Ovis aries: one gene and its partners. The protein of the gene in region 3 interacts with the protein of the main gene of each other region in a biochemical or structural test. Links are inferred from orthologs where the notes say so. Each region holds a gene or a part of one and is shown on either strand. Other genes may lie near its edges. The genes, in order: ELANE, PLG and SERPINF2.

The links.
Region 1: of the proteins of SERPINF2 (region 3) and ELANE, one has a biochemical effect on the other in vitro, tested with the Homo sapiens proteins (2 studies listed by BioGRID). The link is inferred for Ovis aries from reciprocal best matches to the Homo sapiens genes SERPINF2 and ELANE.
Region 2: the proteins of SERPINF2 (region 3) and PLG form a complex in vitro, tested with the Homo sapiens proteins (2 studies listed by BioGRID, with this or other methods). The link is inferred for Ovis aries from reciprocal best matches to the Homo sapiens genes SERPINF2 and PLG.

What each region holds. Positions count from the first base shown.
Region 1 is NC_056058.1:41,086,674-41,090,396, reverse strand, and holds ELANE (neutrophil elastase), read right to left. Parts: upstream 2,826-3,723; 5' UTR 2,800-2,825; coding exon 2,733-2,799; intron 2,425-2,732; coding exon 2,268-2,424; intron 2,081-2,267; coding exon 1,939-2,080; intron 1,127-1,938; coding exon 896-1,126; intron 741-895; coding exon 534-740; 3' UTR 429-533; downstream 1-428. UniProt on the Homo sapiens protein: Serine protease that modifies the functions of natural killer cells, monocytes and granulocytes. Inhibits C5a-dependent neutrophil enzyme release and chemotaxis. Promotes cleavage of GSDMB, thereby inhibiting pyroptosis. Promotes blood coagulation.
Region 2 is NC_056061.1:84,340,149-84,343,794, forward strand, and holds part of PLG (plasminogen), read right to left. Parts: intron 279-3,646; coding exon 119-278; exon of another isoform or gene 1-118. UniProt on the Homo sapiens protein: Plasmin dissolves the fibrin of blood clots and acts as a proteolytic factor in a variety of other processes including embryonic development, tissue remodeling, tumor invasion, and inflammation. In ovulation, weakens the walls of the Graafian follicle.
Region 3 is NC_056064.1:22,722,750-22,726,495, reverse strand, and holds the start of SERPINF2 (alpha-2-antiplasmin), read right to left. Parts: upstream 2,897-3,746; 5' UTR 2,679-2,896; intron 2,468-2,678; exon of another isoform or gene 1,721-2,467; intron 1,283-1,720; 5' UTR 1,279-1,282; coding exon 1,216-1,278; intron 1,078-1,215; coding exon 1,036-1,077; intron 918-1,035; coding exon 855-917; exon of another isoform or gene 845-854; intron 570-844; coding exon 368-569; intron 1-367.

The DNA of each region.
Region 1 (3,723 bases), on a different chromosome or scaffold from region 3:
CTCTGCATTATGACCACCTGCAGCACTGGTTTAATTATGTTTGCTGCTGCTGCTAAGTCACTTCAGTCGTGTCCGACTCTGTGCGACTCCATAGACCGCAGCCCACCCGGCTCTCCCGTCCCTGGGATTCTCCAGGCAAGAACACTGGAGTGGGTTGCAATTTCCTTCTCCAGTGCATGAAAGGGAAAAGAGAAAGTGAAATCTGTCAGTTGTGTCCGACTCCTAGTGACCCCATGGACTGCAGCCTACCAGGCTCCTCCATCCAAGAAATAGCAACTGGGATCCTTTTGTGGAAGGTAGGGAAGGGACTTCTTACCCCAGGGCCCTGAATCAGCCACCACCTGGTGGCAGCATACTCATGACACACCCAAGACCTTCTCCTGAGGACTTTTCAACTCAGTTGTACAACCAACAAACACACAGACACCTTCTACAAAACAGAGAGAGGTTTTTATTGTGCCAGCTGCTGAGTGATGCTTCATGGGAAGGGCCCAGCCAGGGGCAGGTGAGGGGGCATGACAGGTACAGCCTTTCTAGTCGGTCCTGCCCGTGGGGTCCCTGGGGTGGAGAGAGGGGCCATCGTCGTCATTGTAGCGCCGGATGATAGAGTTGATCCAGTTGGCAAACTTGGCAACAGAGGCAAAGGAGTCTGGGAAGACCCCGGAGCCGCAACCCCCACGGATGAAGGAATCGATCCCATGGACCAGCCCGTTGCAGACCAGGGGCCCGCCGGAGTCCCCCTGTGGAGCCAGACAAATTGGGGGGCTAGGGTTCCCGGCCCAGCCCTCTCAGCTCCACCTACCTGCCCTTCAGGGTGGGGAAGATATTCCAGAGGTCTGGCTGCAGCAGCCTGGGAGGGGGTGGGGTGGGGTCTGGGGGCACCCAGGGTACTTACAAAGCAGATGCCAGCACGCCGGCGTGGCACCAGGGTGCACACGTTGGTGGGGCGGCAGAGACCAGTCACCACGGTCACGTTGAGCTGCTGCAGGATTTGGGGCGGTGGCCGGTTCGTGCCCAGCCGGCCCCAGCCCATGGCCACGCACTGCACACCTTCGCCCACGCCCTGGTCCTGGGCAGGCAACTGGGCCACCTGCACGTTGGCGTTGAGGGTGGCCATCCTGTTGAGCTGCAGAGGAGGGTGGTGGGGTATGAAGCAGTCACGGGAGAGGGGTGGCGAGCCACGGCTGTGACTCTGGGGCCAGGTTCCCCTGCTGAGGCTCTACCATTGTCCTGGGGTGTTTAAGAGCAGGATGCGCACCCTCTTCATGCCTCCCATCGAGCCTCACTTTCCCCGTCTGTAAAGTGGAAGGAACCACTATGGCTGAGGCCACGTCTCTGGACATGTCTTTTATATTTATTTATTTATTTGTTTGGCTGCATGGGGTCTTAGTTGCAGCATGCGGGATCTAGTTTCCCAACCAGGGATTGAACCTGGGTCCCCTGAATTTGGGAGTGCAGAGTCTTAGCCCCTGGACCACCAGGGAAGTCCCTGAATGTGTCTTGAGTGCAGTAAACAGTAGGTGTCCAACAGAACATACCGTGGGCTACACCAACGACCATAAAGCCCTTGTTCTAGAACATTCTCAGAGAATAATCATAGCTGTGCAAGCAGAGGGGAAAGGTAGGTTTCTGCCTCCAGACTCCCACCCGCCGAATGTAGGTAGTTTTGCCCCATTTCCCAAAGAGGGAGGCCGTCAGTGCCCACTGCCAGGAAAGACAGCTGCTCAGAGCTTCTGGCTGTCTTATCTAATCTCTGGCAGCGCTGCGGGATGCGGGGGTGTACTTCTCCATTTCACAGCGGGGTGACTAAAGCACCAGGATTAGGGGGGACATCAGGTCTGCCCCCCGCCCGCCGCACCCCCCAGTCTCCTGCCCCTCCCCCCTCCCCAAGCCTCTCAGGACGCTGCACCTGCCCTGCCCGCCCTGCCCCCCGCGCACCTGGAGAACCACGACGTCGTTCTGCAGGTTCAAGGGGTCGAAGCCGTTTTCAAAGACCCTCTGGACCCTGAACATCTGCCGGGTTCGCTCCCGCCGCCGCAGATTATGCGCCCCCAGCACCACGCGCACCGATCGAAAGTTCCTGGGGTCGCGGGCGGACAGGAGGTGATGGGGGGGGGGTCCCCGGGATCGGAAGCGGCGGAGAGACCCCGCTGGGGCGCAGGGGGACCCTGCAAACCCTCGCGCTTTTGCCGGAAGCCCCCACCCTGGGCCGGCCCCACGCCCCTCGCGCAGGGACCCTCGATGTGTGCGCCCGCGGAGACACTCACACGCCGTTCAGACAATGCGCTGCCGACAGCACGAAGTTGCGCGCGATGAGGGTGGCACCGCAGAAGTGGCCTCCGCGCAGCTGCAGCGAAGCTATGAAGGGCCAGGCGTGCGGCCGGGCCGCCCGGCCCCCCACGATCTCCGAGGCCAGCGCGGGGCCTGGGGGCACGGGCGGGGTGGGGCGGTAAGCAGAGGAGGAACCCCCGACCCCTGGAACCCCCAGCAGGACCCCGCAGGGTTGGGCCCTTCTATTGCTTGTCACCCAGAGAGGGGAGGGGGCGTGTACGGTCCTCCTGCCCCGGCGCAGCCAGACCTGAAGTCCCCACAGGGTGCAGGGTGTACCCCCCCTTCACCCTCACCACTCAGAACCTCAGTCTCCTCATCCCATGAGGTTGGGGGGTGCGGCAGGGTCCAGGGTGAGTGGAGAGGGGGAGCAGAAGACCAGGGACAGACTCGACCCCACTCACCCCCCAGCAGCAGGGCCAGCAGGATGGGGGCCAGGGCAGGGCTGAAGTGTCTGCAGCTTTGGGTCATGGTCGGTTGGGGGCTCCAGGGTTTCTGCCCTCTGTGCCCACCTGTCCCTCTTATAGTCCCCACACCGAGAGGCAGTTGCAGTTGCCCCACGGCGGGGCCAGGTGCCCCTACTTCCTCTCCCCATCCAGGGGATGGGGGACCGCCGACTGGGTGATGGGAAGAACAGTTGGGGAAGGAACTGTGCAAGTGACCAGGAGGGTCACCAGTTCAAACTCAGGGTGCATGATTAAACCCTAATGTCAGATAGACATCTTTTTAACATAAGTGTATCCCACATATAAGCATGGGATGTAGTTATGAACAAAGTTTATCCAACATTCAAAGTTAGCAGGGTGTCCTGTGTAAGTGAAGTGAAAGTTAGTCGCACAGTTGTGTCTGACTCTGCAATCCCATGAACTATAGCCCCCCAGGCTCCTCTGTCCCTGGAATTTTCCAGGCAATAATCCTGGAGAGGGTTGCCATTTCCTTCTCCAGGGGATCTTCCTGACTCAGGGATCGAACCTGGGTCTCCTGCACTGCAGGCAAATTCTTTACAACCTGAGCCACTAGGGAAGCCAATATTCCTTACATGTAGTTATGTACAAAGTTAGTTTATCTGACATTCAGAGTTAGCAGGACATCCTGTATTTTTGCTAAATGTGGTCATACATGCATGCATGCTAAGTTGCTCAGTTGTGTCCAACTCTTGGCGACCCCATGGACTGTAGCCTGCCAGGCTCCTCTGTCCATGGGATTCTCCAGGCAAGAATACTGGTCACTCTGGCCCAGAGGAATTGTTTGGGATGCCACGTGCCTCAGTTTCACCAGGGCTCTCTGATAACAGCAATCATGTGCACCCAGCTCTGTCCTAATATTTTGCAGGCATGGCAGGGTCTCCATATCAGCCACCTGCCCAGTGACATGGTTGGGGGACCTGGGCTTTGA
Region 2 (3,646 bases), on a different chromosome or scaffold from region 3:
GGGATTCTCCAGGCAAGAATACTGGAGTTGCCATTTCCTTCTTAGTTTCGAGCATAACCCTTTAAACGGACACTGAAGCTGGCGGCTCTCCTCTACCGGTTGAAAATCAGAGACATACGCGTTCGGGTAGCTTTCTGGGGTCTTCTGATGCCGGTGTGGTATCATTGATGACCACGACTGGCATTTCCTTCCTGTGACAGTGGTGGACGACGTCCCTCGATAACCCTGCCCGTTGCCATGGTAGCAGTCCTGGGCCACAGGAGTCTGCTCAGGTGGTACTGAAACCAAAAGAGAAGAAATCAGTAACTAATGACTGGGACAGAGAAACGTGTGAAATAACTTGTTACACAAACAATATCCTCTCTGGGAATTAACACCGCCCTCTTTTTACATATTGGGAGGCAGATGGACATGCAAAGAAAACCGTAGCTCCAGAACATTCTAAGACTTTCATGACCTAACTTTTGGGTAAATAGTTAATTTAAAACTTGGAGGAAAAAATAAGCAGGGCAGACTGCTTGTAATTGGACCTTGCACTCATGTGCAAGCTCTCTTTTATGGATCTCCCCCGGGTATTCATGAAAACTGGGCAGGTCTTCAGAAAGACACTCATTCATTTGGTAGAGGCTGCACGTGGTGACTGGGTGCCAGTGAGGAAGACATGGAAACCTTCTGCATTTTCCTCAGACTCTTTGTTTATACAAAGCCAAAGCCTTCAGCTGCTGGGGGAAATTGTCCTCCATCCAGGACTCAGGCAAAGATCCGTTGCTTCTCAGGGAAGGGCTCTGGAATAGGGGCAGAAAATTCTACTGTGCCAGGATACTTCACCAACACAAAGCAGAAGTCTCCTATTCTTCCACCCAGGACTCAACACAGATACAACTTAGAGTTCAGTTCCATGAGAAGAAGGGGCAAGAATATTGAGAAATATTGCCAGGTGCTCAGCTGGGAAAGAATCCACCTGCAATGCGGGAGACCTGGGTTTGATCCCTGGGTTGGGAACAACCCCTGGAGGAGGCCATGGCAACCCACTCCAGTATTCTTGCCTGGAGAATCCCGTGGACAGAGGAGCCTGGTGGACTGCAGTCCAGGGGGTCGCAAAGAGTTGGACACGACTGAGCAACTAAGCACAGCACAGCACCAGGTGCCCAGAGTCTAAGGTTGAGAGGAGACCAAGAAGATAGAGAATGCCTGCCCCCAGCAAAAGCTCAGCACTGAGTAACAAGAAACAGTAGTCTATTAAGAGGATCAGGTTCAAAGTGTGGCATGCCCCCCACCTCTGTGGTGCAGGCATTACTGATTGCTAAAAGTTGAGAAGGGATTAAGATACTGAGAAAGCTCTTCAGCACCCCAGACCCAACTCTAGATATAAGCTGACTACACCTCGCCACTGGGGGGATTTGAAACCTACGGTTCACATAGGGAAAAGCAGCATCAACAAAACCTAAATTCCTTTTATCTTCTCATTATATTAATTCAGTGACCCACATAGCATATTGATAAAAGAAGTCTGCCCATTTCAAAGTATAAATAATATTTGCTTCAATAGCTATTATTTCTCTACAAGTAAATCCAAGCATTGATTAAAAATTACAAGACACACACACACACACACAAACAGGGGCCAAAAGCCACTGTTGAGTGATAAATAATCAGCAGAGCCAGACTCAGAGCCACCCAGAGATGTGGGATTATCAGATTGAGATTATAAGGTTCAGTTCAGTTGAGTTCAGTTGCTCAGTCATGTCTGACTCTTTGCGACCCTATGAACCACAGCACTCCAGGCTTCCCTGTCCAACTCCTGGAGTTTACTCAAACTCATGTCCATTGAGTCAGTGATGCCATCAACCATCTCATCCTCTGTCATCCCCTTCTCCTCCTGCCCTCAATCTTTCCCAGCATCAGAGTCTGTTCAAATGAGTCAGATCTTCACATCAGGTGGCCAAAGTATTGGAGTTTCAGCTTCAACATCAATCCTTCCAGTGAATATTCAGGACTGGTCTCCTTTAGGATGGACTGGTTGGATCTCCTAGCAGTCCAAGTGACTCTCAAGAGTCTTCTCCAGCAACACAGTTCAAAAGCATAAATTCTTCAGTGCTCAACTTTCTTTATAGTCCAACTCTCACGTTCATACATGACTACTGGAAAAACCGTAGCCTTGACTAGACAGACCTTTGTTGACAAAGTAATGTCTCTGCTTTTTAATATGCTGTCTAGGTTGGTCATAACTTTCCTTCCAAGGAGTAAGCATCTTTTAATTTCATGCCTATCAGAGCCACCCAGAGATATGGGATTATCAGATTGAGATTATAAAGTAATTATGATTAATATGTTGATGGATTTTGTAGTAAGTACAATACTGGTCAACAATGTGCATGGATAGATGAAGAATGTCAGCAAAGATGAAAACTATTTTTTAAAAAAAAGAATAAAATGATCAAATGTAAACACTAGAAAGAAAAACCATATTATCAGAGATGAAAAATTCCTTTGATGGGCTGATTAACAGACTGAACAGAACTGAGTAAATAATCAATGAACTTGAAAACAGATTGGTAAATATTATCTGAACTGACACACAAAGGGGAAAAAAAAGAGTCGGGGGAGAAATAGAACGAGCTTATGGGAGATATGAGACAACAAGAAATGATCTAATGTTCGGGTGATTGAAGTCCCAGAAAGGAAAACAGAGAGAGAGAGCAGGGGAAGAGAAATATTTGAGCAGTGATGGCTGAGGATTCTACAAAAGTAATGAAAATCAATGATCCACAAACACAAGAAGCTCAGCGAGCTTCAGGTAGGATAAGCACCGTAAACATATCAGCAAACAAATAGACTCACTTAGATACACTGTAATCTACTGCTGGAAACTGAAAATGAGAGAAAGTCCTAAAGGCAACCAGAGAAAAAAGAAATATTAAATACAGAGAAACACAGATTTCCATCAGAAACTATTCAAAACAGAAGGCAATGGAGGAACATCTTTAAAGTGGCAAAGGGGAAAAATTGTCCACCCAGAATTCTATACCCAACAAAAATTGTTTTTTAAAACTGAAGGCAGTATAAAGAGACTCTTCCTGACATTCAAATGCTAAAAGACTTCATCATCAACAGACTTGTACTATACAGGATGGAAAAGGTCAAGTTTTTTATGGGAAGAACATGCCATCACCTGGAAATTGGAGAGCAAACACGAAGAAATGAAGCATAGAAGAAATGGTAGAAATAAATAAATAAAAATAAATAGAAGACTTTCTTTTCTTTCTAATTGTTTTAAAACATGACTGAGTCTTCGGGGCAAAAATAGTACCAATTTATTGTGACTTTTCAAAATAGATGTAAACTCAGAACAATAGCATGATATTCTGGGACAGAGTAAATATTGCAATGTTGTAAGTTTCTTACATCAAGGAAAATAACATTATTTGTAGGTAAAATGTAAGTTAAAGGTATGTATTGTAAACATTAAATAGATAGTAAAATGAAGTAATAAAAGGCAATACAAAATACTCATTTAAATCAGAGAAAGATAAAAGAACAAAATTCAAATAAGACAAGTAGAAATAACTAAATTGATGGTAGATTTAAATCCAACCATGTTAACAATGATGACATTAAATGCAAATGGTCTAAACATCTCAAAAGA
Region 3 (3,746 bases):
GATCACACTATCTCCTCCCACCTCCTGAGGGTCAGGACACCCAAGTTTACTTCCATCTCTGCTGCTGCTAGTCTGGGTGACATTTCATCACCTTCCCTCTCTGGACTCTGTCCCACCGTGAGACCCTCCAGTCCAAAAGAGATGTTGGAACTGCCAGACTCTTGCATAAAAACCACCAGAGGCCCATCTTGGGCCCAATCCCTGAGACTCTGATTCACGGAGACACGAGTCTGTGTTTTTAACAAACTTTCAAGAGACCCTGATGGAGGAAGTGCCCGCTAGTAAGCTCTGGGGAAGGAGGCGAGTTCCTACTGGCCTCCTAGCTCTCCTGGTCTGCACCTGGTCTCCTGGTCTGCTGCCCCAGTACCTAGTGCCAGGTGAGACAGTGCCAGGGCCACACTCAGAGGTGACAGGATGAGGTTGGGCCTGGTTGAGCTTTGGGCCACCAGGGAGAAGAGGTCTGTGGTGAAGGTCATCATGGCCCGGGCCAGCCTGCGTGTCTGCTCCGGGGTTGGGGACGCCTTGCAGTCTCCTGGGGCCTTCTTCGGGGCAATCTGGCCACCTGGCTCCTGCAGGGACAGATGAGGGTGGGGGGAGCATTGGTGTCAAGGGGTCAGCTCTGTTGAAGATCTCTTTCAAAGCCCCTGTACTGGAGACAGCAGGGCCTTGTTCCTGTCCAGACGTGGGTGATGGCGTTCTGGGGGCTAGGTTCCTCCCTCGCGTCCCTCCCATCCTCTCCCTTCAGGCCTCAGCCTCACTGCCACCCTCCCCTCCCCTCCCCATTTCCTTGCCCTTCGGATCTGCCTTCCTCCCGCGGGTCCCGCCCACTCTTCCCCAGCCCCACCTGGTTGTACCTGGTTGCCCAGCTTGAGGAGGGAAAGTGGGGGCAGCTTCTCCTGGGCCTGCCCGCTCATTAGCTGAAGAAAGGAGGAAGCAGATGGAGAGCAGCCCTTCCCACAGCCCCCCACCCAGCACCAGCCACAGGGGAGGCCCTTGGGGACCTTCCTCCCTGTCCTGCCTCTCATTCCCCAGTACCTGCAGACCCAAGGGCTCCATGGCGCTCACAGGAGAGAACTGCTGAGAGAGGGGGGGAGAGGAGAGGGAACCCCTGAAGCCAAGACTTCCCTCAACCCAGCCCCCCACCCCTTTCCCCAAGACCCTCGACCTCTCCCAGAGCTTCCGCCCTGCCCCACCCAGACCTCAGCCCAGGCTCACCGCTGAGCACGGGCTTGGCAGGCAGGAGAGGCTGAGCGCCAGGAGCCCCCAGAGCAGCGCCATGTTCCTGTGCAGGACGGGAAGGCTCTGTTCCTACCTCACCCCTGCACCCGCCGAGGAATCCCACCCACAGGCTCATGGGCACCTGAGCCACCAAGCAGAAGGGACAATGCCAGCTGCAGTACCCACGCCCACAGCGTGTCTCTCTGAGCTGTGAATTGCTCGAACTCTCTCCCGAATTGCTTTCTTCCCCCTTTGTGTTTTCTGGTTTTTTACACTGTATGCCCTGAAAGTGTTTTGGTTCATGGCGGAAAATATTACCCACACAGAAAAAGTCCCCATTTCTCAAGGCCGGGAGTTGTGAGTCAGACCTGGGTTTGAATCCAGGCTTCGCCTCTTGGCAGAGGACCCAGGACGTGTCCCTTAAACTCTCTGGGCTCTGCTTTATCTTTTAAAATGGTGGCAAAAGTCCCTTCCTCCTCCCACATGTATTGTGGAGACCAACCCAAGTCAGTCCTGGTGAGCCCTGACTGCACGGGCCAGCACGCAGCGTTGGCTCTTGTCAGCCTCCCAAGGCCCCTCTTCTGGGAGGCCTGTCCTGAAGCCTGCTCCGTACTGGAATTCCCTCCCCAGAGCTCCGATCCAACCCCCCTTTCTGGCTGGCCTGGTCTTGTCCACAAGGGTGGGCTGGCCTGTGGTCTCAGCAGGGGTGGGGAGCTGGGCCAGACTGGCCTTATTGACCCAACGGCTGAGCCCAATGAATGACTGTGGCCAGAGCCACCTTTGGACTTACGGAAAACACAGGCCTCGGCCCCCGCTCTAGCCCCAGGCTGACTCCGGGAAGCCAGGATGACTGGTGGGGATGGGCAGGTCTTGGTCTGGCCCCGGAGCGGATCTCGAACACACCCCCACCCCGCCCCCATCTCAAGTGTCCTTCTCTCACCCCTAGCCCCCTCCGTGTCCCACACAAGGACCCTTGGCCAGGGCCCCAATCTCCAACCTGGGTTTTTAATCTTCTTGCCAAGAAAAAGACCTCCAGTTTTTCATTTCCCAGAGAGACTCCCCTTGAACGCCCCCACCTTGGCTCCTCATCATCTCAGGAGGCTGGGAAGTCACAAACCTCCTGAATAAATTCAGCCCAGACCCCCTCAGCAAGGTGGACACCTCCAGGCCGAGGCACCCCCCGCCCTTACCTCTGCAGGCTCCTCACTGCTGTACACAACCTCCCTCCGGCCCAGCTTGGTGCTCCCACGCTCTGCCCTGCTCCAGCAAGCCCAGCTGAGCCCTCCCCTCCCACCAGGACCTTTGCTCTCAGCCAACCACTGTTCCAGTTGCCTTCTCTTCTGGTAAATATTGACCTGCACATCCGGTTAAACATTGATACTGGAACCAAAAGCCCCTTTCCCACCAGGGCATCTCATACTGGGACAGCCACCTGGAACCCCGGGAGAGGTGGGTCCCACCTGAGCCTGGAGAAAGGCGATTCAGGAGACAAAAAGGCTGTCTTCAATCAGGGGATTAGATCCAAGAAAGACAGGGGACTTTCAGTGACCCCGTGAAGTGGGGGGTTATCCCCGCTTGTCTGGCTCAGAGAAGCTGTGTGGCCTGGCCAAGGACGCAGAGCTGGGCTGAGTCACATTCAGGTTCCCGCTGCCACGGTCCTCGCCTCTTCCTCAGAACTGCCTCCCCCTCCCAAGAAGAGGGAAGGGGAAGCTGCAAAAGGCAAGGGAGGAAACCTGGATCAGGATGCAGGATACGAATCCCTGTCCTCCCATGTCCCGGCTCCTGCTTGGCTGCCTCCAGCCTGAGTCCAGAAGGCAGGGGGAGGGGAGAGAAAAGATGCCTCTCCCAGCATCCCACTTCCTCGGAAGCAATGTTTCCTTCCCCTCCTCGAGATGAGGGTTCTGGGCTGCATGAAACAGAAGCCGTGGACCCTGTATCCACCTGAAGAACCATGGTCAGGATGCCTCCCCTCCTCCTCTCTGTCCAGGAAGCTACAGGGTCCCAATCTTTCCTCCCCCAACACCACCATCAAGAAAAGCCTCACTCGGATCCATGGCTCTTCCACAGGATTTATTGATCATATTTACATCTATTGCAAATAGTGAGAAGGCAGCAGGGGTCCAGCCTCAGACCTCATCTCTGCTCCAGAATGCGAGGACCTGTGACATCTGGGTCTTCCTGTCCCCCCGGGGGAGGGAGACCTGAGATGCAGAGATGACTCTTCTCGCCCCTTCTTTCAGGGTCTTGGACCCCCTCCCCCAAGGCTTCTGGACCCAGAAGCTGCCTCATCAGCTCAAGGCACAAACACTGTGGTGAGGGGTGGGCAGGCAAGGCATGGGGTCACTCCAGGCAGGCACCATCTGGCCCCTCCATCTGTCCTCCTTTGGTCCTGCCCTCTTTCTTCCCCTACTGGTCCCACACTGGCCAGGGCCTGGCTGGGTGGACACTTAAGAGCCCAGCCTAAGGCTCTTAACTCCTGGACCATGGTCAGCCCTTCGAGGCTGGAGTCCAAGCACCGTCAGTGTTCT